Linked DNA regions of Oryctolagus cuniculus. The protein of the gene in region 7 purifies or fractionates together with the protein of the main gene of each other region. This does not show direct contact. Links are inferred from orthologs where the notes say so. Each region holds a gene or a part of one and is shown on either strand. Other genes may lie near its edges.

Region 1 (3,500 bases), on a different chromosome or scaffold from region 7:
AGTCAGAACACAATCCCAGGCACTCTGGTGTGGGATGCGGGCATTCCAACTGCTGTGTCAAATGCCCACCCCTCAAACTAGAAGTTTAATCAGTCTTTGATTCTTTTAGCTGGAGAGCTGCATCCCAGTGCGCTTTTCCTTAGCAATAAACTATATATCAGAATAATTACAGGAACAACATGAATCAAGTTTCTAAAATCTTCGACACTATCATTACCTTTTCAATACAAAAATAAATACTCTGAAGGCCAAATAGATTCTGGTTGCTTTTGATTTACCTTGTTGAGTACTAATGTGATATGTTTTGAATAAAGTACTATAATGGCCTTCTCCTTGCCCTAGAGCCTTTTGTAATTGAGCCCTTACTTAACCCACCACTTTTGACCATGAAATTTAACAGGTGACTGCGTCTGGATATCTACTTCATGAGATGTGAGATTATTTGACTTGAGATTTCTAAAGCTCTTGGACTCCTGCTATTTCACCAGGACATCTTGGTAAAATAGAAAGCACAAGAGTAGGAGTTAGACTTGAGCTCTCTCTCTGGCCTGGCCACTAACATATGTATGATCTTGGGCAAGGCAATTCTTGCCTGGGTTTCATTACCTTTAAAATGAGGTTGAACTAGATAATTTCTCATTTCTCTTCTACTCCTAAATTCTATGATTTTTAGGGAGAAAATCCCTTCAGCATTCCTGGGATATATATCTAATAGTCCCATATATTGTGAAACTTCCCTATTGACGATAAAGAGGGATGGGGAAGGCTACAAGTAAGTATGTCCTCCTATTTTCTCTAATCTTTAAAAGCTATTCCCAGCAGTAATTCCCAGAAAGGATAGTAATCAATGGTGGCTTTTGCAGAATTTTAGAGAAACTGATCCTACTGCTTTAGCTGCAATTTTTTTTTTTTTTGACAGGCAGAGTGGACAGTGAGAGAGAGAGACAGAGAGAAAGGTCTTCCTTTTGCCGTTGGTTCACCCTCCAATGGCCACTGCGGCCAGCGTGCTGCGGCCGGCGCACCGCGCTGATCCGAAGGCAGGAGCCAGGTGCTTCTCCTGGTCTCCCATGGGGTGCAGGGCCCAAGCACTTGGGCCATCCTCCACTGCACTCCCGGGCCACAGCAGAGAGCTGGCCTGGAAGAGGGGCAACCGGGACAGAATCCGGCGCCCCAACCGGGACTAGAACCCGGTGTGCCGGCACCACTAGGCGGAGGATTAGCCTAGTGAGCCGCGGCGCCGGCCTTAGCTGCAATTTCTTAACTCAAACTTCAGTAACAGCAATTTCAGGTCCTCTGCATCTTCAAATACCATTTTTGAAAAAATATTTGAAGATTGGCTTCCTAAATATCCCATTTTTCACCACAAAACTAAAAATTATCCTAACTTGTGTTACTTTGTTCTACTAAGTGAGTATAATTTACACAAAATGTGAAAGGAATGATCAAGTTGACAGTAGCACCTTGCAAATGGATTTTTAAAACCTGGTAACCCAGATTAATTAAATGGGTAGAATTTTTATCTTTGGAATGGGTATTTCTGAGTCATCCCCATTCATTTATCTAGCTCCTTGAAAAGTAAAATAATCAATATTTCAGGTGCACATAATTCACTCAATCATTTGCTTTGAAATAAGACCCCAGAGTATTGCCTTTTAGTTGTATTTATTGAAACCATGAATACCAGAAATTAAAATTCCAAACCATAGATTTAGATGACTGAATTTCTCATTAAGTTGATGTGTTATTAAGTTTTTCATCCATAAATCTGGACCAAAGAACATGAATGATAACACAACTAGGGAAAGTGCTAACTGAAGATCATAAATTTATCTTTCCATGGGAAGTTATTTCTGAGCTGAGTTCTTTAATATTTCAGTGACAAATTGCCTGTGGGTCAGAATTTGGAGGCAGGGGAGGGAGAGCTAGTCCCTGCTGTTTGAAACTACTTTTGCATGGTGTACTAGGTTTCTATTGATATTTGTCTTATGGATAGGTGAGCGTTTCTGTGAATGTAAACCCTGAGGTTTTTGTCTTGGTTTTTCCCTGACTCCTGTCTGTCTTCATAGGTTCTCTTTGTAAAGAATCCTTTTCTGGTCAAGTTTCTTCTTCATCACTCATGCCACTGACTCCATTCTGGACCCTCCTTCAGTCAAATGTGCCTGTGCTTCAGCCACCATTACCTTTGGAAATGCCACCGCCTCCACCTCCACCCCCAGAATCCCCTCCTCCCCCACCGCCCCCACCTCCTCCTGTAGAAGATGGTGAGATCCAAGAGGTAGAGATGGAGGATGAGGGAAGTGAAGAACCTCCTGCCCCAGGAACAGAGGAGGATACTCCCTTGAAACCTTCATCACAAACCACAGTTGCAACTACCCAGGTAAATGATATTTGACATTCTGAATGGTAATGGGGACTGCAGCATAATTGACTCCATGTTTTTCTTTTATTTCTCAAAGATGTATTTATTTATTATGAAATCAGAGTTAGAGAAGGAGAGACAGAGAAAGAGCTTCCATCTGCTGGTTCACTCCCCAAATGGCTGCAATGGCTGGGGCTGGGCCAGGCTGAAGCCAGGAGCCAGGAGCTTCTTCTGTGTTTCCCATGTGGGTGCAGGGGACAAAGGACTTGGGCCATCTTCTGTTGCTTTCCCAGGCACATTAGCACAGAAGTGGTTTGGAAGTGGAACAGCAGGGCCTTGAACTGGCACCCATGTGGGATGCCAGCAGTGCAGATAGCGGCTTAACCTGCTGCATCACAGTACTGGCCCCTCCAAGTTTTATTTTAGAAAGGTGTGTTCTACCAGGGTCTTTAGCCACTGACCAGAATGTTTGTGTTTCAGAGTTCGGCTGATTCTACCATCTCTAGTTCTCCTTCCATTAAAGCGATAAAGAGAAAAGCTACAGAAATGAGTACTGCAGTGGTTCAGAGATCAGCTACCATTGGCAGTTCTCCAGTCCTCTATAGCCAGTCAGCTATAGCTACAGGTAAGTATGCTTTTTTCGATGTATTGCTTTCCTTGTCTCCAGTATTAGGTGCCATAAATATTTTTGTATTTATTTGAGAGGTAGAGTTACAGTCAGAAAGGGAGAGACAGAGAGAAAGGTCTTCCGTCCACTGGTTCACTCCCCAAATGGCCAAGTGCCCAGAGCTGGGCTGGTCTAAAGCCAGGAACCGGGAGCTTTTGTTGGATCTCCCACATGGGTGGTAGGACCCTAGGACTTGGGCCATCTTCTGCTGCTTTCCCAGGCCATTAGTAGGGAGCTGGATTGGAAGTGGAGTAGCCGGGACTCGAACTGGTGCTCATATGAGATGCTGGCATTGCAGACGACAGCTTAACCTATTAAACCATGATGCCAGCCTCCTCTGTGACTATATGTGTTTGAGTATTTAAAATTTATTTTATTTATTTGAAAGCTAGAGTTACAAAGAGGTAGAGCCAGAGAGAGAGTGGTCTTCCATCTACTGGTTCATTCCCCAAATGGCTGCAATGGCCAGAGCTG
Region 2 (3,992 bases), on a different chromosome or scaffold from region 7:
CTCAGGCCGGCTCTGATTTTGCAAGGTGCACCTCTTCCAAGATGAGCTCATGTGGTTTCCAATCAGTTCTGGCTCTAAGGTGAACCCGACACCAGCGCTCGAACTCGATCCTGCCATTTGCCAGTCACTACCAGCGCCACTGCGGTTACAGAGGTGCAGAATTTGGGTGTAGACGGTGAACTCATTTCAGAAAGGATCAATCCCACTTAGCAGGGGGCAGCCGGCCAGCAGGCCTGCCACAAAGGACACGAACGCCCGCACGCGTTTCTCTCCGCAACTCTGAGGTATTTTTCTTCGTGTTCCACAGCTTCCTTTCTACCCCTAGAAATTAACCCCTACAGAAATTAACCCCCCAACCTCCGAAATCTGACAAAAATAAAGCCACGGTACACGATTTCCCTTTAGGATCCAGTCTCCGCTTGACGTGTCCGCAACGTTCTAAGAAGCCCGATGAGCCTTCATTTTCTAGTCAGTCGGACTTCACCGCTACCGCCCCGGCCTCGGGTCCTCCAGCGTCGCCGTCGCTCTAGGCGACTGTCTCTGCGGCGGGCCTGGTTGGCGTCTCTCTAGCCAGCTCATCCTCTCGATGGTCAGTGCGCGGCTTCCGGTGGCGGGACGCGGGGCCGCGCACGCGGGAAAAGCTTCCCCAGCTAACTCCCGTTCCCCGCGTCCCCGCCCCCCTCCCCCGCATCCCCCGAAGCGCCCACCGCCCGCGCCCGGCCCGTCGCGAGGCTGCAGCTTGAGGAGGTGGGTGGTCGTCGTCCCTGGGCCCCGCTCCCCCGCGGGACGCTCCGAATGGGCCGTTCCGCGTTCGAATCTGCAGGCAGCGGGCGAATCCATTTTAGCAGGAGGGGAGAACCATGAGGGCCAGGATGGAACCTAGCGCTCTGAGCTGGGTTGGGGCGCGGGAGATGTGCACGCTGCGGGCAGGCCTTGGGGTTCCGCTGCTCGTTACCATGGCTCCCGGTGTGGCGCGCAGAGAGGGTGTTGGCTTGGGGTGGTTCTGCGGGCCTGGGATTACCGGGGCTGACCCCCGGAGCACGGCACAGCCGGCCTGTTGGTTCCCGGGCAGAGGAGAGTCTGTGAACCCCCAGGGGCGGCCACCTGGCTCCATCCGTGAGCAGAGCGCGGCGCTGCGTTTCATGACTCTCTCTTGAATTCAGATTCCCAACCTGCTGACCATCTGCACACTCACCCAGGACTTGGGGCCCAGCGCCCAGTGTATTCGGTTTCCCTTGTGAGGCCTAGGGCTCTGCCCAGGCCACCAGGGGCAGGTCAACATGGCAGAGACACTGGAGTTCAACGATGTCTATCAGGAGGTGAAAGGCTCCATGGTGAGAAGGGCTTGCGTTTTTAATAGAGATGGAAGGAGGGAGCGAGCTAAAGTTGATGTACATGAACGAGAGCTTGTCCTGGTGACGTTTCTACTGGGAAAAGGAAGTCTCTGTATAACGTGCACCTGGTGTTTCCCCCCAATAAAAGGCAATTCTGAAAAGTCGCGAGAGTTGTAGGATCTCAGGGTGTGAAGGGACCGTATTTGCTATTCTGTGTTTCAAACGAGGAGACTGATGGCCTGCGCAGGTTCTGGATGCCCGAGCCAGGTGCAGAACCGAGACTTCCTGGACACTTGTGTCTCTTTACTGGTCCTCGCTTCAGCTGTTGCTCCTGCCCTGATCACCTGGCAGTCAAAGTGAATGCTGGGTAGAGCTGCACCCAGGACACGGTCTGTACTGTCCCCGTGCATCTGGGCTCACTTTCCCAACAGAATGACGGTCGGCTGAGGTTGAGTCGCCAGGGAATTATCTTCAAGAATAGCAAGACGGGCAAAGTAGACAACATCCAGGCTGGGGAGTTGACGGAGGGCATCTGGCGCCGGGTGGCTCTCGGCCACGGACTTAAACTGCTCACGAAGAATGGCCACGTCTACAAGTATGACGGCTTCCGAGAATCGGTGAGACGCCCTGTTGCCGTGAGCCCCCTTTTTACCGTGCCATCCTGTCTGCTTTTAGTCTTCTAGAGGGAGTTGAGGTTCCCTCTGGTAGCCCCCGTGGTGCTGGTTTGGCTCCCTGGGCAGGGCCATTGAGGCCATTGAGCAATCAGTGGGTCAGCTCTGAGTGTTCTAGAGCGTTCACAGCTTTTCTGTGTTTTGGTTCCAGAAGATCTGCTTCCTACTGTTCTGGTTTAAATCGTGCTTTCTGCTTGTTTGCTCGTATCCAGGTTCAGAATCTTAGCTGGATGCTTTAGTTCAGGCTTTGCTTTTCCCTCTTAAACTGTTCTGAGTGAAAGACTTAACTTTAATGTCCACTTCTATTAAAACAATGAACACACAAAGTTTAGGAAGTCAGATAACATGGTGAGGTCCAGAAACAGGAATGCCAGTCCCTCTCTTTACTCCTCCCCTAGTCTGAGGTCCAGCTCCCAGGAGCAGCCTCTCTCCACAACCTTTTAAACCATTTCAGAGCTGAGCTGCTGAGTCAGCATGGACTTTTTTTTTTTTTTTTTTAAGACTTATTTATGTATTTGAAAGGGAGAGTTACAGAGAGAGAGAGAGAGAGAGAGATCTTCCATCCACTGGTTCACTCCCCAAATGGCTGCAAAGGCCAGGGCTGTACCAGGCTGAAGCCAGGAGCCAGAAGCTTCTTCTGGGTCTCCCATGTGAGTGCAGGGGTCCAGGGGCTTCGGCCATCTTCTGCTTTCCCAGGCGCCTTAGCAGGGAGCCGGTTCAGAAGTGGAGCAGCTGGGACTTGAAGCAATACCTTTATGGGGTGCTGACACTGCAGGCTGTGCCACAGCACCAGCTCCCTGCATGGATTTTTTGGTAGAAGTCCTATTGGGGCAATTTTTTGGATATAGGTAATGTCAGGACATTCGTGTCGGTTAAGGCCACTGGAGCTGACTGTGGTTGCACTTTCTCCCTTCCACTCATAGGAGTTTGAGAAACTCTCTGATTTCTTCAAAACTCACTATCGCCTTGAGCTAATGGAGAAGGACCTGTGTGTGAAGGGCTGGAACTGGGGGACGGTGAAGTTTGGAGGTGAGTCTTGGGGAGCAGGTAGGATCAAGGGCTGCAGCCTTTCTTATTCTCTTCCTCTGCCACAGTCTCCGGTTTCCTGTCGGGTGGGTTGCTCAATGCACCTGTGGTGTGTCAGGCTTTGTGCCTGGTCTCGGGGTGCAGCGTGAACAAACAGCCCCGGCACCCCGCCCTTACGGAACTCCAGGTTCGGTGGGCTTCTTGTCGATGCAGACGTGGGGGGAGCCTGAGGCTTGAGCAGCCCTCTTCTCACAGGGCAGCTGCTTTCCTTTGACATTGGTGACCAGCCGGTCTTCGAGATACCCCTCAGCAACGTGTCCCAGTGCACCACAGGCAAGAACGAGGTGACGCTGGAATTCCACCAGAACGACGACGCGGAGGTGTCCCTCATGGAGGTCCGCTTCTACGTGCCTCCCACCCAGGAGGACGGCGTGGATCCCGTGGAGGTGAGGCCTCCCCAGGCGCCCCGGTGCAGACGGGGCTGAGCAGGCCATGGGCTGGCCTGCTGCCGGGTTAACAGTGTGTGCTTCGGCAGGCCTTTGCCCAGAACGTGCTGTCCAAGGCGGACGTCATCCAGGCCACTGGAGACGCCATCTGCATCTTCCGGGAGCTGCAGTGCCTGACTCCCCGTGGTCGTTACGACATCCGGATCTACCCCACCTTTCTGCACCTGCACGGCAAGACCTTTGACTACAAGATCCCCTATACCACGGTACTGCGTCTCTTCCTGCTGCCCCACAAGGATCAGCGCCAGATGTTCTTTGTGGTGAGCAGAGCCCCTGGGGGCGGAGGATCCCGATTTTTGTCTGAGGACTTTCTTTTTTTTTTTTTTTTTTTTTTTTTTTTTTGACAGGCAGAGTGGACAGTGAGAGAGAGAGACAGAGAGAAAGGTCTTCCTTTTGCCGTTGGTTCACCCTCCAATGGCCGCCGCGGCTGGCGCGCTGCGGCCGGCGCACCGCGC
Region 3 (2,922 bases), on a different chromosome or scaffold from region 7:
CTTATACTGTAGTGCGTAATAGCTGTTGGCATAGTGTGTACGTTGTATTAGGTGTTGAGTAACCTGAAAGGATTTAAATAAATGGGAAGATGTGATTGCATGCAGATGCCATTTTTGAAAAATTGATTATAGAAGGCAAAGATAAGAGGTCTTCATCTGCTGGTTCACTCCCCAGATGGCTGCAAAGGCCGTAGCTGGGCCAATCCAAAGCCAGAAGCCAGGGTCTCCCATGTGGGTGCAGGGGCCCAAGCACTTGGGCCATCTTCCGCTGCTCTCCCAGGCCATAGCAGAGAGCTGGATTGGAAGTGGAGCAGCCGGGACTTGAACCGGTGCCCATGTGGGATGCCGGCACTGCAGGTGGTGGCTTTACCCACTATGCCACAGTGCCGGCCCTGCAAGTACAATTTTAAGAGGGATTTGAATATACAAAGATGGTGGGGGTCCTGGAACCAACCATGACTTGGAGATAATGAAGGATACCTACTATAGTCTCGGAAATCATTGTTTTCTCATTTTGCTCTTTCAGACAAACAAGAAAACAGGACAGCCCATGATTAATTTGTACACAGACAGGGAAACTGGCAAGCTGAAGGGAGAGGCAACAGTCTCATTTGATGACCCACCTTCTGCTAAAGCGGCCATTGACTGGTTTGACGGTACGTGTGAGGCGCAGTGACGGAACTGGAGGTGCAGTTAACACAGTACAGATATTTTTAGGAGAGCACTCTTAGATTGTACCAAGAGTGTTTTTGGATCCACAGGTCTTGAATCAGAAGTCTTTTCTCTCACCTTTATTTCTTTAGGTAAAGAATTCTCTGGGAATCCTATCAAGGTCTCGTTTGCTACTCGCCGAGCGGACTTCAATCGGGGTGGTGGCAATGGTCGTGGAGGCCGAGGGCGAGGAGGTGAGGCGCTGCCTGGTGTTTTTGATAGCTCCATTGGAAAGGGTATATGGGGGTGTGGGTTTGGGATGAGCCAGGCTTGGAAGGGGCCTGGACCCATACTTCCTGTATCTGCACCAGGTCCCATGGGCCGTGGAGGCTACGGTGGCGGCGGCAGTGGAGGCGGTGGCCGAGGAGGATTCCCCAGTGGAGGTGGTGGTGGCGGGGGACAGCAGCGAGCCGGGGACTGGAAGTGTCCTAATCCGTGAGTGCATCTGCTTTTTTTCCTGCCTTTGTGGTGTGTGCCCTTGGCTCTGATAAGCTAATCTGATAACCAAATGGCTACCAAGTGAATGGTCAGCAGGTAGTGTGTGCTGTGTGCATACATTGGACAAAGGAGATGATTTCTCAGCTTGCCAGGGCGGCCAGGAGGAGCATAACGCTTAATCATGCTCCTTGAATGACATTAGCTTGAAAACTGGTGAATTGTTCATTTCAGGCGTTTCTATTTAATATCTGTAGACTGTGGTTGACCAGCGCCGACGGTAGTAGGGAAGGTGTGGACTGGGTTCCACGGTCACAGCGTGCGTTCCTTCACCTTTCGGGCGCCTCAGTGTTCTCACGCCAATTTCTAAGGGCACTGGAGTCTGTTGTTCTGGATCTTGCCTACTTCCTGTCCCTCTGAACTAATTGTCTTCCTTTTGCTCAGTACCTGTGAGAACATGAACTTCTCTTGGAGGAATGAATGCAACCAGTGTAAGGCCCCTAAACCAGATGGCCCAGGAGGGGGACCAGGAGGTTCTCACATGGGTAAGGAGGGCAGACCTGCTCATGAGCAGATGGGCCTTCGTTGTTGAGCAGGGAGGCTGTGGTGGGGGAGTGCTTGGATGGGTATGTGAGATCCATTTCTTTTTTTTCCTAGGGGGTAGCTATGGAGATGACCGTCGTGGTGGCCGAGGAGGCTACGATCGGGGCGGCTACCGGGGCCGTGGCGGGGACCGTGGGGGCTTCCGAGGGGGCCGGGGTGGTGGGGACAGAGGCGGCTTTGGCCCTGGCAAGATGGACTCCAGGTAAGACTCTGAGTAAAAGTAGAGTAATTGAACAGAGTAATGGGCTAGCAAGGTTTTGTTCAGTGATTTCATTTTGCAGCTAGATTGGAAAGAGATGGGACAGTAACCTAGTGGGCAGGGGAGGAAAATTGTCTCTGGGGAACTCATCTGTAGATGCCTCCTCCTTAGATGAGAGATGAGATAGCTGCTCACCGCCGGTGGGAGGGGGTGGATGGAGATGCTGGCTCTCAAACCTAATGGACCTCTTTTTTTTTTTTTTTTGGCAGGGGTGAGCACAGACAGGATCGCAGGGAGCGGCCGTATTAGTCCGGCTCCTGACTGAGGTTCTGGAGCGGCTTTTCTTCTGTACCCAGTGTTACCCTCGTTATTTTGTAACCTTCCGACTCCTGATCGCCCATGGATTTTTGTGTTGGACTACGTAATTGTAACCATACCTCTGGTTCCCATTAAAAAACCATCGTTTTAGTTAAATTTTGTTCCTCTTCCCCCTCTTCGCTCTCCTGGGGGATTGACATCTGGGTCAGGAATGTGGGGAGTTTCATCTTTCAGATCATCCTGCGTAGCAGGAATTGGAACAATTGGTTCCTGCACAGCGGGAACTGGAATCAAGTGTTTGCTACTTGATCCAGGAGAGAAAAAACTGCAGTGGTATCCTTGAGAGGAGAGATTCAGACCTCTGTCTGGCAGCACTGGATGCATACGTGAGATAGACAGACACGATGCCGTGGGTGTTGTCCTGCATTTGCCCAGCTGTGGGAGTTTCCCCACAGTTTGCATGCTGGTCTTTATTTCTGTTTATAGCAGTTTCACCCTTTAAAGAACTTTCTCTTTTGAGGCTGAACAAATTAGGCAGTATTAATATCTGACCATGGTGGTCAGATTTTTGTTGCTGTTTTCTTTTGTTTTTTGAAGATTTACTTATTTTGAAAGTTCAGAGAGGGAGGGTGAGATCTTCCCTTTTCTGGTTCACT
Region 4 (4,043 bases), on a different chromosome or scaffold from region 7:
ACATTAGTTCTGATTTGGAAATAAAATTCCCTTATCATTCCAATCCACCACAAAAACTTGCCAATAAGAGGGGGAATTCAAATTCTGTAAAGCACTTAAGCAAGGTCCAGGAGGGGAGGGTTAGGCTCACAATAATGACACTGTGCATGCCACCTTTCCATTCCTGCATTAGACTGCCAGACAAGCAGTGTGCCTTTTTCTTTCACACTCCATATACTCAGCATTGGATCTTTCTCTAATGGCCCAAGTTTAAATTCCAGTATAGGGGCCAGTCCTGTGGCGTAGTGGGTAAAGCTGCTGCCTGCAGTGCCAGCATCCCATATGGGTACTGGTTCGAGTCCTGGCTGCTTCACTTCCAATTCAGCTCTCTGCTGTGGCCTGGGAAAGCAGTAGAAGGTGGCTCAAGTTCTTGGGCCCCTGCACCCATGTGGGAGACCTGGATGAAGCTCCTGGCTTTGGATTGGTGCAGCTCCAGCTGTGCTTCCATCTGGGGAGTGAACCAGCGGATGGAAGACCTCTCTCTCTCTGCCTCTCTGTAACTCTTCAAGTAAATAAATAAATCTTAAAAAAAAGAAAAATCCCAGTATATAAGGAAGGGCCCTTCTCTCTGTAGAGAAAAATGGATTTTCAAAGATCAAGTTTCCCTTATAAAACTGTCAAAGCAACAATGGCTTAGATGACTTACAAGGTCAGAGTTCAGGAAAAAAGATAATGATGACTAAAAAGATCTTCTTAGTGAGGTTCCTGACTTGGAAGATAAACCAGAGACAGGAATATATAATTGGCTTTAACCAAGACACCTGACAATCCCTGGGGACAAGATGGCTCATCATGGACTAGACATGATGCCTTCACAGAAACCAGTATCTTGGGTGCTGGCATTGTGGTGTAATAGGCTGTCTCCACCTACAGTGCTGGCATCCCATAAGGGCGCTGGTTTGTATCCCAGCTGCTCCTCTTCCAATCCAGGTCTTGGCTAATGGCTTGGGAAAGCTACAGAAGACAGCCTGCGTGCTTGGGCCCCTGCACCCCCGTGGGAGACCTGGAGGAAGGATCAGCTGTGCTCCAGCTGTTGCGACTATTTGGAAAGTGAACCAGCGGATGGAAGACCTTTTTCTCTATCTCTCCCTCTCAAATAAATCTTTTTTTTTTTTTTTTAAGAAAGAAACCCATATATGGCTGTTTTGGACCTTCTAGCCTCCATACTGGGAAGGATACATGTGATTAAATATGAGGCCCATCAGCTGACTTACTCTCCCGCCGCTCTGATCTAGCTTAAGAGTCCAAGATAACCACACCAGTGGCATTCCAGCTTGTAGGGCCATGAGTAGATCCACACCAGCACGCACAGGGCACTGTTCCAGTGGCCCTCACTTCTTCAGTCACTGCTCTACATGTAGTGCTGATCAGTTCTCTTCACTCCAAGAATCACTCTGCATAAGCTGTCCCTGAATGCTCTATAGCGCATTACTTAGAACAACAGTTTTATGTGATCGCATTCAGTGGTAATTAGAGAAATAGCGAAACCATCTAAACTCACACCACAAGAAAACTGAGGGCTGGTGTTTGGCACAGCAGTTAGGACACCCACATCCTGGTCAGACTGCCTGGGCTCAAGCCCTAGCTACGCTTCTGATTCCGGCTTCCTGCTAATACTCACCCTTGGAAGCAATGGGTGAGGCCTCAAGTCACTGAGTTCCTGTCTCCCAGGCATTTGGGGAGTGAACCAATTTCTCAAATAGGAAACCAATTGGACTATGTAATAATATACACTGATTTTTAAAGAAGCAGTCTGGTTCACTCCCCAAATGCCTGCAACAGCCTCCCCCACTCCCCAGCTCGCCTAACGGAACACGAAACACTGCGACACGGTGTTCAATAGTTTCCCTAGTAATTAGGTTATGAGTGCTGCTCTGCCGCAACCTCTGGCCATCCCCGCTGTCACCGGGAAAGCCCATCTCTAAGTATCTGCAGCTGCCCCCTTTCCCCAAAGTATGTTGTAATACAGCCTAAAACCCCCCTTCTGAAATCCAGCATTCTTCCATCTAAACACGCGGGCATCCTCTAGGTGGTCGATCTGCCACCCCACTCCGAACTCTCCCCGACGTTAGAGACAGGACTCAATTTTGTGTCGCCCACCCACCAGTTAGAGCCACTAACAAAAAATTTTAAAAAGGATCCGAAGCGTCAAAGAACACTGGCCGATTATTTAAGACCGGGGGGGGGGGGGGACCGACGGGGGACGGTATGTGTGTCAGAAAGGCGCCTCCACACGCTCCAGCAATGAAAAAGTCTCTCCCCTCATCACAAGTCACTTTCCCGACGCACGGCCTGCAGGAACAGCAGCCAGCGCTGACGACGCCGCTCGAGCCCTCTGCGCCGGCCGCGCACGAGGAGCGGCTGCAAGGCAACGGGAAAGCGAATCTCAAACTCTCTCTCTCGGAAACAGAGTGGGGTCCCCTCCAACATCGCTGCCTCCCCAGCAGGCACCGGGGACCCATGGCCCGTTTCGGGGCAGCAGAAATGTGCAAGAGCAAACCGTTTCTCAGCGTCCTGGCTCAAGGGTCTGCCCGTCGCGCGGCCCGGGCTCCCTCACCCGGAAGTGCTGGTCCCGGTACTGGCTCAGCTCCACGTAGGAGTCACTGCGCAGCGCCTTCAGAAGGCCTCCCGACATAGCTCACACAGCTGCACAACGACGCGCCGACTCCCGAGAACAACCGGACTGGGGCGGCGGCGCGGCAGCAGCGGCGGCGGCGGAAACGGAAACGCGCGGACGCGGCGCACAGTGGGAGTCTCCAGACCAATCCGAGCGCGGCAGTGTCGTCATCAGACGGCGCGGAGGCGGACACAGTCCGCGGCCCAGCGCCGCCGGTCCGGGGACGAGGGAGGCGTGCTCTTGGTTCCGGGACGCTCTCACGAGGATGGTTCTTCGGCGGCTGCTGGCTGTGTTGCTGCACAGCCCGCAGCTGGTGGAGCGGCTGGCCGAGTCTCGGCCCATCCGGCGTGCGGCGCAGCTTACGGCCTTCGCGCTGCTGCAGGCCCAGCTGCGCGGCCAGGACGCGGCCCGCCGTCTGCGGGGCCTCGCGGCGGGGCCCGCCGGCTCGCTGGGTCGTCGCGCCGCGCGATTCCGAGACGCCTTCACACAGGAACTACGCCGTGGCCTCCGGGATCGCCCGGGGACACCACCGGGGAGCCAGAGGGGTCCAGGCGCAAACCCTTGAGCCCGGGCCGAGGTCGCCTACTTTCGCTTCGGGACTGTACAGTGGCTTCGGCGCTGAGGAGTCATCCCGGGAACTGGGCACAGCTTCGAAACCCTGACTCAGATTTCCGGCCTGCAGACGTCCCACTACGAAGAGCCCAGGCCGAACGGACCTCCTCGTTGAAGCCCTGTGACGGGCAGAGCTCCGTGTGGCCAAAGACCCCGAAGCCTGAGGGGCTGCCCCGGGACGCAGCCAGAAAGGGAGCCTGCCCTCTACAAATGGGACAAGAACTCGGGCTAGATATGCGGGGAAGATCATGGATGGAAACACGGCCCTGCAGCTGCCGAAATCCTCTGATTAAATGCGTGAGCTGATTAACCGGCGTGAGTGTGGTGCTTCTCAGACCAGGTGGATTGGGAGGCCTGGGCGCTGTAGGCCGGCACACACAGTGAGTGCTTATTCTGGGCTGGCGCTTGCTAATTGCTCTCAGTGTGGGTTATCACACTTAACTCTTTACAGCGCGTTCGTGGGAGGAAGTGGATATTACTTCTTACGTTGCCCAGAGCCTTACAGAGCGGAATGTGAGTACAGGCATTTGACTCCGGGGCCTAAATCCGTAATCACCACTCTCCACAGCATCTACCCTGCCCCAGTGCCTGTCTTCCTCCACCGCCGTCACCACCAGGCATTAAGACTACCGGGATTCCTGTTCACTTTTGTGGGTCTGGGATACAAACCACTGGTCCAGCTAACGGACCTACAATTAGGATGCAAATTGTGTACAGAAGTGCCCTGTCATTTCCGGCTCTTGATTGGGTGTCTGATGGGCTCTACTTAGGCTAC
Region 5 (3,500 bases), on a different chromosome or scaffold from region 7:
AAATACTGCTCGTCCAGGTGGTGGTCGACCAGGTTGGGAACAGTGAGTATATGTTAAAAATAATCTTCTAGATAATTGCCTTTGAACCAGATAGTGGGAACTACAAACTAGGCAGTATGTTGCCAAATAATTTTCATTGTAAGTTTTCCTTTTATGGCAGATTAATACAATTTCTCTGTGAAATGTCACAAATTCAGGCTGATGGGAAGCATTGTTTTCTAAAAGAATGAGTGTACAGTTGACCCTTGAACAACATGGGTGTTCGGAGCACCAGTCTCCATACAGTTGAAAATATATATAAAACTTTTTTTGACTTCCCCAAAAACTTATCTACTAATGCCCGGCTATTTACTGAAAGCCCTTTGATAATGTAATCAGTTATCGCATGCTTTGCATTTTATATAAATTATATATGGTGAAAAATACATGAGTACCACAAGAGGTCACTTTTTACTGTAATACATAGTAGTACTAGAATGAGGAACTGCTCAGGTGGAAATAATTCCATCCCATGCATTTAAGCAGATAACAATACTTGAGCTTGCTGTAGCAGCAATAGGAAGTGGCTACAAAATTACAATAGTAGCACAGTATTTTACTACAGGTAATTTTATGCAGTTATGATTCAACACTGTGTACCATTGTTTACGTTTCTCTTGGCTTCAAATGGCAGAACCATATATGGTTCTAAAAGTGTATGTTTTGGGGCCGGTGCTGCGGCTCACTAGGCTAATCCTCTGCCTTGCGGCGCCGGCACACTGGGTTCTAGTCCCAGTTGGGGCGCCGGATTCTGTCCCGGTTGCCCCTCTTCCAGGCCAGCTCTCTGCTGTGGCCCGGGAAGGTAGTGAAGGATGGCCCAAGTGCTTGGGCCCTGCACCCCATGGGAGACCAGGAGAAGCACCTGGCTCCTGCCATCAGATCAGTGCGGCAGCGTGCCAGTGGCGGCGGCCATTGGAGGGTGAACCAATGACAAAAGGAAGACCTTTCTCTCTGTCTCTCTCACTGTCCACTCTGCCTGTAAAAAAAAAAAAAAGTGTATGTTTTGATAAATTTATATTTTTATAATTTGTGTATATTTTATCGCAGAACATTATAAGCTGTTATCTATATATATTTTATGCATTCATGACATTTTTCATATTTTTTCAATGTCTCTTTGGCATGATTCATCCCTGGGTTTCTTCAAATTATCATAAATCTTTAAAAAAAAAATAAGGCCACTTTAAATTGGACCAAACAATGCAAAAGCCATGTTGTTCAATGGTTAACTATAATTTTCAAAAATAGTAAAATACAAAAATCACAAATTCTTACCCACTTTTTATGAATAATAAAAGAGATCTTGGCAGGACCTCAGTTAGCAAGTAAATAATAATTACTTGAAAACTTACTTTAACTGTGGAATTCTGATCTCAATTCAGATGATTCAAATTTCATTTCAGTGAATATTCCATATTATGGTTAAAGTTTACCAATTACAAAATTCCTGAGGTTTTCCTCTCTTGGATGGCCCCCTCCATGCTGCTCTGGCTGGAAGTCCTTGATTCTAATAAATATTTTGAATCTCAAAAAAAACTTCTTGAGTAGTGTCTGTTAAAATTTTGTTACATATTAAAATATATGTGGTATGAATTTTCTGCCTTGAAATACAAGGAACTTCAGTTTCTTTGAGATGTGTTATGGTATTAAAAATCATTGGGTTTATTTTATATTTACATATATGTATATATATTAGCAGTTCCATTTCTGTAATCCAATTTGACTTATATTCTAAAATTTTGATATTTTTAGTATGTTAAATGAAAGCCTAGTAGGTTGTATTAGTAGAGAGAACATGGAATTTGGAGATGAGTAGACCTGGTTTCCATCCCAGCCTCTCTGTTTACTTATATGATAGTGAGCAAATGGTTTTACTACTCAGCCTCCATTTCTTCATTTGTAGAATTGGAATGATGCTGCCTATCTTAACATGTAAAGTGCCTGCATAGTGCTTTGCAGGTAAAAGGGCTCTTTTTCCTTTTTATAGAGTACTAATTAAAATACATGACAGAAAAATATTCTATATTGAAGTTTGTTATAATACAGTTAGTAAGAAAGATGTTAATATTAAGTAAAGGTAGTATTTCTACTCAGATCTGTATCTGGAAAAATTAAGAATCACAGACTAGGAAGATGTTCTCAGAAAATTAAAATAGATACCCTAAAGTCTACACACTTAAGGTCGTGTATTAATACCCTTGAAGAAATGCTCATGTCTGTTTTACCTTTTTCTTCTTATACAGTTCCAACAAGCTTGGATATCTGGTTTCTCCACCACAGCAAATTAGAAGAGGAGAGAGAAGCTGCTACAGGTAGGAAGGCCAAAAATCTTAGAAAATAATAGTCTTAAGACATACTGAAAAATATAGAAATTTAGCACAGGGGGCAGGTGACTGGTTTGTGCCTAGTTCAAGTCCTTAGTGGTTATCTTCAAGGATAAGTTACATTTAGTATTCCAAATGGTAATTTTTTTTTAAGATTTTATTTTATTTGAAAGGCAAAGTAAAAGAGAAGAGGGAGAGACAAACAGATCTTCCATCTGCTGGTTCACCCCAAATGGCTGCAGTGGCTGGGGCCGGCCAGGCTGAAGTCAGGAGCTTCTTCCTGATCTTCCACATGGGTACAGGGGCCCAAAAAATATTGTCTTGCATTTTCTCTTGGAGGCAGAAGGAAGCCATTAGGTCCAGACAGCATTTAAGATGGCAGTTTAATTTGAGATGCACATTAACCAGCTTAGCTCCCAGGTGTGAGGAAGAACTGCATTTATTTTTCTTCCAGACTGAACTGTCCTACTCTTTTCCTATCTTCTGTCTTCCACAAGAAGACATAAGGAGATTGTTAAGGGACCTTGCCCTGATAGGCACAAGCAGTGTGAATCTAAGCAGCAAGCCATAGGTAGATCTTAATGCCTGGGTCAGTCACCACCAGGGATAGAGGGGCCGCCTCCAAAATGGTGTAACAAAGATAAGAAAGCTATCTTCTGATGTTCCATTGAAAATTGCTAAGTTTATGAAAGTTAACTACTGTATTACTAGATCACATGTTAAAAGAAGGTAATATTTGCAAATTCCTAGCTCTCTGGAGAGAGACTTAAAATCTAAACCCCTCTTCTATTGTATGCCACTTGCCTGTAATTTAGTGAACCTTGAGCTCAACAGAAGCCCATTCAGTTTCTTTAATGAGATGCAGTTCAGAAACTTGAGCACTGTTTTTACTTAACCCTTTGAGAGAAAACACTGAATGAAGCTTGTCTAAATCCTCTTTCAAAAAAGAGGTTCCAGAAAGTGGCTTTTCTTTAAACTTGATGTTGAAAGGCATTTTGGAGAGTTGGGTCACAGCAGCATTAACCTGTCAGTTCTTTCAAAAGAGATGGGAAAGATGATAACTAATGGCATGATGATCAATCTGAAGTTTACAAAAGATAGCTTTTAAATACAGTGTCTCCATGGTCTTATAAACAT
Region 6 (4,220 bases), on a different chromosome or scaffold from region 7:
CCACCCTGGAGAAATGTTCCACGTGCTCCCAACCTATCCTGGACCGGATCCTGCGGGCGATGGGGAAGGCCTACCACCCCGGCTGCTTCACCTGCGTGGTGTGCCACCGTGGCCTGGACGGCATCCCCTTCACCGTGGACGCCACCAGCCAGATCCACTGCATAGAGGACTTCCACAGGTCAGGCCCCGCCGCCTTCCCTGCTCGGGGGTGGCTGGCTTTGCCCACCCTGGGCTCAACTGTCGGCTCTCCCCTACACCCAGGAAGTTTGCCCCGCGATGCTCGGTGTGCGGCGGGGCCATCATGCCTGAGCCAGGGCAGGAGGAGACGGTGAGAATTGTTGCCCTGGATCGCAGCTTCCACGTCGGCTGTTACAAGTGCGAGGTCAGGGGGCCAGGGCGAAAGCCAGGGGTGTGCAGCAGGGGAAGGGAGCCTGGGGGTCCTGGGGCTGACCGGAAGCTGCTGTTTCTTTCCCGACAGGAGTGCGGGCTGCTGCTGTCGTCCGAGGGCGAGTGCCAGGGCTGCTACCCGCTGGATGGGCACATTTTGTGCAAGGCCTGCAGCGCCTGGCGCATCCAGGAGCTCTCGGCCACCGTCACCACCGACTGCTGAGGCTCCCCGGGGTGCACCTGCTGCCCGGGCCTGTTCCGTTCCCCGTCGTCACCCTCCCCGACACCTGCCTTTGCAACTTTGTTACCAAACGTTGTCTCCTCTCCCTCCAAACGTCCTGAAATAATAATCTGGGAGTTCACAACCCGCCACGTCTGCTGTCCCATCTGATTGTCACAGTAGCAGCGCAAGCACCGTTACTGTTTTATCACACAGATGCAGTGTGGGGTGATTCTCAAATGACGGAACCGAGATCGGGACCCGGGTCTTCCCAGCAGCTCTGGTCCAGTTTTATTTTATTTTAGCCACTGTCCTCGCGCCAGGGGGAAGCACCACCTCCCTACTGTGCAGCCCCGCATCCGGGCCAGATCCGCCCGCCTGATGCTCAGAGCCCTAATTAACCCTGCGGCCTGGCGCCTTTGCCAGGAGAACAACGGGTTCTGCAAGTAGCGCATGCCGAGGTCTCATCAAAGCGAACAGAAAATGGTGGGAGGAGGCGCTTTAAAATGGTCGCTTCCGTCCCATTCCCTGAACGCCCACGCTCCCGCGCGAGGAGGGGGCGAAACCACCGGCCGCCCTCAGGTCAGCCCGCGGAGGGCACCGGCTGCAGGGGGAAGTGGCTCGGACTCCGGGAGACTTCGGGGTGCGACCTCGGGCGGGGTGGGGGGGCGGAGAAAGCGCTCCCGCCACCGCCGGAAGACTGCCGCCCTCCCCGGTCCGGCCGGGCTTCCGTAGTTCTCTCTCTGGAGCGCGCAGTTCGCATCCCGGAAAGCTCGCGAGATCTCCGTGTCCCCGCCCCCTTCCCATCACGCCCTGCTCTCCCCGCCTTCGGCGCCCGGCCTTGGTTCTAGTTAGGGCCGCGCGAGTAGGAGTTTGCGGCTCCGGGCCTTGTTCTGTGGTTGACGCAGGCGCAGCGCGAGTGGCGCGCGCCCGCCCATCCTCGGTCGCCCCACTTTTCCTTCCCCCAACCCCCGCTGTCTGCGGCCCGCTCGCTGAGCGCCCCCCGACCCCCGCAGCCCCTCGCCCCGAGACCAAGCCTGCCTGGACGCGCGACCAACGGCCGCCGCCGCTCCCAGGTGGGGGAGGGGAGGCGGGGGTGGGCAGGGGCGCCCGGGGGCGAGCGCTGCCCGCGATGGCGGGGCCGGCGGCCGGCGGCTTGGGCGGGGGGGAGGCGGGCGCGCGCGCGGCGCCGGAGGAGGGGTCCTCGCTGGGCTGGTCCGCGCCCGAGCCCCTGACCGGCTCTCCTCCCCGGACCCCAGGCCCCCTCGGACCGCGCCATGGGTGACAGTGACGACGAGTACGATCGAAGGCGCAGGGACAAGTTTCGAAGAGAGCGCAGCGACTATGACCGTTCCCGCGAAAGAGACGAGAGGCGTCGAGGGGACGATTGGAATGATCGGTGAGACCCTCGCCCTGGGCTGGAACGCCGGCTCCCTGCTCGCTCCGGGGCGGGGGTGGGGGAGGTCGCTCGGTGGCCGGTTTCCCGCGGTCCGGCCTGCGTGCTGGGGGGCGAAGCCCCGTGCAGAGGCTGTGCGTTGGGTTGATGGTGAGCTTTGCCTCGGGCGCCTTGGGGAAGTCGACCTGGGTGCAGAGGGGCGGTCAGACCGCTTCCCTGGCCACACTAAGGAGTCGGTTCATGGGGACCGTTTTGCCTAAAATGCCGGGGGAGTTGCGTGGGCAGCGCCGTTGGGTTCATGGATGAGCTCCTGGTGAGCCTCCTGGGGTGTCCAGCTTTGGTTACAAGTTAGATGGGGCAGCACGCATATGAGTTGATGGCGAGTGCACGGCGGTGGCTCCGTCTGGGAACGTTTCCATAGAGGAAGCGTGAAGTGACTTCTCCTAACGGTGTTCCTTCATTGAGTGGGGTGCTGGAAGGGGGCTTAGGGGCTGATGTTGAGGTGTAGCGGGGTGAGCTGTCCCCCACCGGTCCCCGGCTGCTCCACTTCCGATCCAGCTCCCCGCCGGTGAGCCTGGAAGGCAGTGGGAGATGACCCGCGTGGGAGACACGGTTTTGGATTCCGGGCGCCTGGCTTTGGCTGGCTCGGTCCTGGGTGTTGCAGCCGTGTGGTGAGCAAGCCGGTGGACTCTGCCACTCTGCCAGACCAGCCAACAGGTCACCCCTTGTTTTGCTGGGTGTATTCATTCATTCATTCATTCACTCATTCATTCTTTAAGATTGGTTTCTTTCTAAGGTAGAGTGACAGAGAAGGAGAGACGGGAAGATCTTGTCTCTGGTTTGTTCCTCAGATGACCACAGTGGCCAGAGCTGGGCCATGCCCTCGAGTGAACCAAGGGCTCAGACAGCGGCCCCTCCTCAGTATTTTCTAAGGTGGGGGGGAATTGGTGATGAGATGATCACTCTTACAGGCTTGTGGTCTGGAGCTTAGGGTGGGGAGCACAGCGCCCTTGGGCCCACGCCGCAGGTATGCGTGCGTGAGATGTCGGTCCAGCTGTTGCCAGGGCAGTGCTGGTGGGACAGCTCGGGCAAGTGACGCCAGCCGCACTGGGCAGGTGGGTGGGACTTCCTGGACGGTGAGGAGTTGTGGGTCGGGTGCTGGGTGCGGGAAAGAGCACGTGTTCCGGGGGCTTGGAGTCGTGGTTCTCGTGTGCCCCAGGCCCCGCGGGTCTGTGAGGTCACAATCACCTCTCTGAGAGCAGGTGTCTGGTGAAGCGGTCAGGCCGCTGGCTGGGATGCACGGGTCCCTCGTCCGATGTTGGGGTCTCAGCTGCTCTCTCCTGCTAATGCACACAGTGGGAGGCAGCAGGTCCTTGAGTCCCCGCCACCCGATCAGAGACCTGGATTATGTTCCTGGCTCCTTGCTGGCTGGCCCAGGTCCCGTTTTAGCAGGCATCGGGGGAGTGAACCAGCAGATGGGCAGTCTCTGTCTCTTTGCCTTTCAAACAGAAGTAATTAAATAAACCTAAAGTGTTACTTTGTGTCGTTGACGTCTGCACTGCTGGTGGCAGCACCAAGGAACACCGTGATGCCAAAGTGTGGAGAAAGCCAGTGTCACTCAGTGTCCTTGTCCTAAAGCTTAATAGAGCCGGCGCCGCAGCTCCCTAGGCTAATCCTCCACCTAGCGGCGCCGGCACACCGGGTTCTAGTCCCGGTCGGGGCGCCGGATTCTGTCCCGGTTGCCCCTCTTCCAGGCCAGCTCTCTGCTGTGGCCAGGGAGTGCAGTGGAGGATGGCCCAAGTGCTTGGGCCCTGCACCCCATGGGAGACCAGGAGAAGCACCTGGCTCCTGGCTTCGGATCAGCACGGTGCGCCTGCCACAGCGTGCCAGCCGCAGCGGTCATTGGAGGGTGAACCAACGGCAAAGGAAGACCTTTCTCTCTGTCTCTCTCTCTCACTGTCCACTCTGCCTGTCAAACAAAACAAAACAAAACAAAACAAAACAAAAACTTAATGGAGTGGGCTTGACCCACGGCCTGGGAAGTGGTGGGCGCAGCGGCGTCCTGAGCTGGGGCACCCGGCAGGCATCTGCTTGAACTAAGAGAGCAGCGTGGGGAAGTGAACCTCCCTGTGCGGACAGCCTTGGGGAACGGGTGTGTGCCAGGGCGAGCTGGCCTGCGTCGGGGGGGGGGGGGGGGGGGGGCGTGCAGGCGTGCAG
Region 7 (4,041 bases):
CTTCTTCTGAGCTCTGGAAGCTCAGAGCAGTCAAAGAGCATTACCCAACCCAGGACCCACCCCGGGGACCGCAGCAGGGGGAGCACTTTCTGGCCTCACTCTGGTCGGCGGTTCCGGACACCCCTAACGCTGTGGCACTTCCCGTCCGAGCAGCGGAGCCTTCAGCGGGAGGGCGTCCTGTCACTCACGCCGGATTGGCAGCTGCCAGACCCAGTCCTCACCGGCTGCGGCTCGTCGTCGGGCCGACTCCCGGGGGCGTCTCGCGTTTCTGTCGGGACCCTCGTCGCCGTGCTGCTGGGCGTGGTCAGCGAGGCGGCCCGGAGGCCCGAGCGCCTCTCCATCTCGGGCGCCGCGCAGGCCCGTTCCTTCCAGCCGCCTCCGGGACGTGCCGACCACCCGGGGCCGCGTCACACGACGGCGTCCTGGCCCGGGCCGGGGCCCAGCCCGCGCGGCTGGGATTTCAGTCCCGGGAAGACCCGGATCCGAGGCAGCCGCAGGGCAGACCCGCGTCTCCCAGCGAGGGGGCGGCTCGGCGCGCACCCGAGGGCGGGGATCCCGGACCGAGCCTCATAGAGACCCCCGGCCGCACAGTGTGGCCGGCGAGGACCCCGGGGAGCCGCCCGCAGGCCGATCCCTTTTATGTCGTCGCGGTGGCCACGCCCCCTCGTCCTGATTGGTGGAGGCACAAGCCCACACCGCTGCTCATAGGCTCAGTCGGATGGGGGCGTGGCAAACCTAGCAGGCGACGTGGCGGAGGGAGTCAGAAAAACTGGCAGAAACTGGCCAACTCAATAATCGTGGGGAGTCCTGGAAAGTCTCGGACCGGGGGCAAGCCCCGCCATCCGCTCCCTCTGGGGAAAAGCCGATTTGCCTCACAAGCCCCCGCCTCCCTGCGGGACGCCCGGAGGGAGGCGTGGCTCCCGGTGGCTGCGCGCGCTCGGGAGGCCGGGGGCCGGGAACTCCTTCCGCCTTTCAAATAAAAAAGATCTTTAAGCTTCGTGACGAACCTCCAGCACGCCTCGAGCCGCACCCACGCACCGCACCCGGCGCCCCTGCGGGAACGGGCGGCGCGGGGAGCCCCCTCGCGGGCGCCGTCGGACAGCGCGGGCCCGGGTCCGCCCCCGGAGGGGCGGGGCGCCAGGCTGCGCTTGCGCAGTGGGAGGCTCGGCGGGAGCGCGCCGCGCGGGGCCGCGCCGAGGCGCCCGCGTCGAGGCCGGAAGGAAGCGGCGGGGGGCGGGGCCAGAGAGGGAAGCCCGCCGGCCGGCCGGACGGCGGTCGCGGCCCGATGACGTCGCACAATGGCCGTACTCCGCGGGTAGTGGAGCCCGTTTGTTCCGCCCGCGCCGCCCCGAAAGCCGGAGCCTGTGAGAAGCGGAAGGGCCAAGCAGCGTCTTCTCCGCGCCGCCCCGACTCCAGCGGCGCCGTGGCCTCCTCCCCGCCCTCGCGCTGAGGTAAGCGGCCGGCGGGCGGCGGGCAGGCCGCGGCGGCGGGAGCGAGGCCCGGGGCCCGGCGGTGCGCAGCCGCGGCCGCGGCGTGGCTCTCGGCCGGGAAGTGGGTGCCGGGGCGGCGCGGGCCGGGCCGCGCCGCGGTGTGCGTTTCGCCGAAGCTGTCATTTCTCTTCCGGGCCACTCGCGCGGCACATGCTTGCGGCGCGCGGCGCGAGGAGCGCGCGGGCCCGCCCGGAGTGGCCGGCGCGGCTCGCCCGTGGGCGCTCGGAGAACTTGGAGCCCGGCGGAGCCCGTGGAACTCGGTCCCGCGGCTTCGGGGCCCCGGGGCCGCTGGCGCTGGGGGGGACCTCAGCCCTCACGACCTGCGGCCGTGCCCTGGCGGGAGCCCGATTCCTGACTCGCGGAGCCGGCTCCTCCAGGGCCGTCGGCCTCCGGACCCGTTTGGACAGACGGAGAGTTTGGCTTCGCAAGTGCGGGGGTCCCGTCGGGGTGCGGGACTCTGATCCGTCGCTTTCCCGGTGCCGAGGTCCGCGTTCGCAGAGCTCGGCCGGGACCTGGCTGATTCCCGCCTCCCAGCCCCGGTGGAGGCGGCTCGCAGCCTGCCCTGACGCTTGTCGTCTGAGCGCGTCCCAGCACGCTCGCGCCCCACAGTCTCCGTGGGAAATGCCCCACGCTGCAGAGGCGGCTTCGTGGGTTCTCCCCAGAGCAGACGGGCGCGCCGTGGCCCTGCCCCGGGCAGCAGGCCGGTGTCGGTGGCCCTGGCGTCCGACACCGGCCCCCGTCCTGTAGGCCCCGTGCCTGCGTGGGGTCGTCGGTCAGAACGCGAGGCAGCGGTTCAGATGGGCGGCTCCGTTCAGGGCTCGGCCCGGCTGTCCTCGGTCGCCAGAGCCCGCTGGACCTGTGCGGTGGGGACTGCTGGCCGCCCGAGCAGGGCAGGCTCGCTCCGCCCAGGCTGTGGACGGGTGCGCTGCAGCTTCTGACTTGGAGGGAGGAAGACCCCCAGGCCCCGGCGCGCGGGTGAGGAGGAAGGTGCTGTCCACGCGCGGGCACTTCCCGGCCCTTCCTGCTGCTGGGGTGTCTGCAGAGGCCGGCTCGCTGCCCTGGAGCAGAGCACTGGAGCGCGCAGGGCCTGCCGGGAGACCGCCGGGTGCTTTGCACCTCGCAGGCTGTGGGGCGCGCGCTGGGGTATCGGCCAAGCCGCGTTCGTCTCAAAACAGGACACTGATGCCCAGAGTCAAGGACCGGGGACTCGGCCATCTCCCGTCGCCAGCAAGGTGTGGCGTGGGCTGCTGGTGGCGGCTGGCTGGCGGGAGCCTCTGCTTGGGCAGCACAGTCCCAGGAGGGTCCGTGGAGACCCTACGGCTTCTTCCCCGGGAAGCCGGTCGGGGCCTCCTTGGGGGCCGTGTGTCGAGGGCGCTGAGCGCCCACAGAGCCCCTTTCTGTCTGACAGGTGTCCCGGTCTGGATGTGAGCCCGGGGAACACGGAAGTGGGCCTTGGCCCTGCCCGCGCCCTGTGGGGTAGGGTCTCGCGGCAGCCTTTGCACACAGGAGCCGCGGGGCAGCGCGGGGGCAGGGACAGGTCAGGGAGCAGTGCTCTGCGTACCCAGGCAAGACGTGTTAGTCTGGGGAGTGGTGCTCCCCTCTGGCAGGTCCCCGTGGGGCTGCATGGCGGAGCTGGGCTGCCTCGGATGACGACAGGTGCCTGGGTCCGTTCACGGCTCGCGCAGGAGTCGGGCAGAGCCGTCTGCGCCCGGGTCGCTTGGTCAGCGCCCAGCGGCCGTCCCCTAGGGGGTGACTCAAGCAGTGCCTCCTGTGGGCTCAGTGCGGTTGGCTCCCTGGGTTTTCTTTATTGGACTCGTGTTGCTTTGACAAATGTTTGAACGTGAGACAAGTCTAGAATGCCAGACAGTGATGTCCTGTGTTGACGGTCCGTGAGGTCGTCACTGTAGTCTGCAGATGAGCGAGCGTCACGCGTGTGGGCAGCGTGTCAGAGGCTGCGCGAGGGACACCGATGGGTCAGCGCAGAAGAAACACACGTCTGTGCTGGGTTCCGAAAACGAGCTCCGCAGACCACTCTAGAACTGGGTCCTCCTGTGCTGTCGAAGCGCTGGTCACACGTAGGAGGGGCCGCGCTGCGGCGGAGCCCCGGGAACGCCGCTGCCTGCAGTGCCACCGGCAGTGCCGCGTCCCATGTGGGCGCTGGTTCCAGTTCTCCTCCTCCGATCCAGCTCCCTGCTGATGTGCCTGGGGAAGCAGTGGAGGAAGATGGCCCAAGTGCTTGGGTCCCTGCACCCGCGTGGGAGACCTGGAAGAAGCTCCTGGGTCCTGGCTTTGGGTCGGCGCAGCTCCGGCCGATGTGGCCAATTGGGGAGTGACCCAGCGGATGGAAGACCTCTCCTCTCTCTCTGTAACCCTGCCTTTCCAATAAACAAATCTTTAAAAAGAAGAAGAAGAAGAAGTGGGGGAGAGGGGCTCAATTCCCCATGGGAGCAGTAGCTCCTTCCGTTGAGTGGGGGGTGCCGCGCCCAGCAGGCAACCAGAGAGGTCTGAGCGTGCACGGCCGCGGGCCCCGGGTTCCCCGTCCGGTACAGGG

The links.
Region 1: the proteins of ZC3H18 (region 7) and FNBP4 purify together in Homo sapiens (affinity purification with mass spectrometry; 3 studies listed by BioGRID and IntAct, counting the BioPlex papers as one, with this or other methods). This does not show direct contact. The link is inferred for Oryctolagus cuniculus from reciprocal best matches to the Homo sapiens genes ZC3H18 and FNBP4.
Region 2: the proteins of ZC3H18 (region 7) and SSRP1 purify together in Homo sapiens (affinity purification with mass spectrometry; 3 studies listed by BioGRID and IntAct, with this or other methods). This does not show direct contact. The link is inferred for Oryctolagus cuniculus from reciprocal best matches to the Homo sapiens genes ZC3H18 and SSRP1.
Region 3: the proteins of ZC3H18 (region 7) and FUS purify together in Homo sapiens (affinity purification with mass spectrometry; 3 studies listed by BioGRID and IntAct, with this or other methods). This does not show direct contact. The link is inferred for Oryctolagus cuniculus from reciprocal best matches to the Homo sapiens genes ZC3H18 and FUS.
Region 4: the proteins of ZC3H18 (region 7) and NCBP2 purify together in Homo sapiens (co-immunoprecipitation; 3 studies listed by BioGRID and IntAct, with this or other methods). This does not show direct contact. The link is inferred for Oryctolagus cuniculus from reciprocal best matches to the Homo sapiens genes ZC3H18 and NCBP2.
Region 5: the proteins of ZC3H18 (region 7) and RBBP6 purify together in Homo sapiens (affinity purification with mass spectrometry; 3 studies listed by BioGRID and IntAct, counting the BioPlex papers as one, with this or other methods). This does not show direct contact. The link is inferred for Oryctolagus cuniculus from reciprocal best matches to the Homo sapiens genes ZC3H18 and RBBP6.
Region 6: the proteins of ZC3H18 (region 7) and SRRT purify together in Homo sapiens (co-immunoprecipitation; 4 studies listed by BioGRID and IntAct, counting the BioPlex papers as one, with this or other methods). This does not show direct contact. The link is inferred for Oryctolagus cuniculus from reciprocal best matches to the Homo sapiens genes ZC3H18 and SRRT.

The regions. Positions count from the first base shown.
Region 1 is NC_091432.1:18,281,269-18,284,768, forward strand, and holds part of FNBP4 (formin-binding protein 4), read left to right. Parts: intron 1-2,066; coding exon 2,067-2,377; intron 2,378-2,839; coding exon 2,840-2,984; intron 2,985-3,500.
Region 2 is NC_091432.1:14,784,300-14,788,291, forward strand, and holds the start of SSRP1 (FACT complex subunit SSRP1), read left to right. Parts: upstream 1-1,192; 5' UTR 1,193-1,280; coding exon 1,281-1,334; intron 1,335-1,765; coding exon 1,766-1,951; intron 1,952-2,928; coding exon 2,929-3,034; intron 3,035-3,286; coding exon 3,287-3,477; intron 3,478-3,566; coding exon 3,567-3,797; intron 3,798-3,992. UniProt on the Homo sapiens protein: Component of the FACT complex, a general chromatin factor that acts to reorganize nucleosomes. The FACT complex is involved in multiple processes that require DNA as a template such as mRNA elongation, DNA replication and DNA repair.
Region 3 is NC_091450.1:6,003,659-6,006,580, reverse strand, and holds the end of FUS (RNA-binding protein FUS), read left to right. Parts: intron 1-526; coding exon 527-656; intron 657-803; coding exon 804-905; intron 906-1,022; coding exon 1,023-1,146; intron 1,147-1,590; coding exon 1,591-1,691; intron 1,692-1,803; coding exon 1,804-1,951; intron 1,952-2,217; coding exon 2,218-2,257; 3' UTR 2,258-2,422; downstream 2,423-2,922. UniProt on the Homo sapiens protein: DNA/RNA-binding protein that plays a role in various cellular processes such as transcription regulation, RNA splicing, RNA transport, DNA repair and damage response. Binds to ssRNA containing the consensus sequence 5'-AGGUAA-3'.
Region 4 is NC_091435.1:83,418,382-83,422,424, forward strand, and holds the start of NCBP2 (nuclear cap-binding protein subunit 2), read right to left. Parts: upstream 2,801-4,043; 5' UTR 2,675-2,800; coding exon 2,597-2,674; intron 579-2,596; exon of another isoform or gene 1-578. Other genes in the region: protein NCBP2AS2, read left to right, coding at 2,922-3,221. UniProt on the Homo sapiens protein: Component of the cap-binding complex (CBC), which binds co-transcriptionally to the 5' cap of pre-mRNAs and is involved in various processes such as pre-mRNA splicing, translation regulation, nonsense-mediated mRNA decay, RNA-mediated gene silencing (RNAi) by microRNAs (miRNAs) and mRNA export.
Region 5 is NC_091450.1:14,874,402-14,877,901, reverse strand, and holds part of RBBP6 (E3 ubiquitin-protein ligase RBBP6), read left to right. Parts: coding exon 1-42; intron 43-2,282; coding exon 2,283-2,351; intron 2,352-3,500. UniProt on the Homo sapiens protein: E3 ubiquitin-protein ligase which promotes ubiquitination of YBX1, leading to its degradation by the proteasome.
Region 6 is NC_091450.1:43,013,073-43,017,292, forward strand, and holds the start of SRRT (serrate RNA effector molecule homolog), read left to right. Parts: upstream 1-1,420; 5' UTR 1,421-1,683; intron 1,684-1,775; exon of another isoform or gene 1,776-1,866; 5' UTR 1,867-1,884; coding exon 1,885-2,006; intron 2,007-4,220. Other genes in the region: TRIP6 (thyroid receptor-interacting protein 6), read left to right, coding at 1-178, 262-382, 479-610. UniProt on the Homo sapiens protein: Acts as a mediator between the cap-binding complex (CBC) and the primary microRNAs (miRNAs) processing machinery during cell proliferation.
Region 7 is NC_091449.1:68,622,366-68,626,406, forward strand, and holds the start of ZC3H18 (zinc finger CCCH domain-containing protein 18), read left to right. Parts: upstream 1-1,241; 5' UTR 1,242-1,451; intron 1,452-4,041.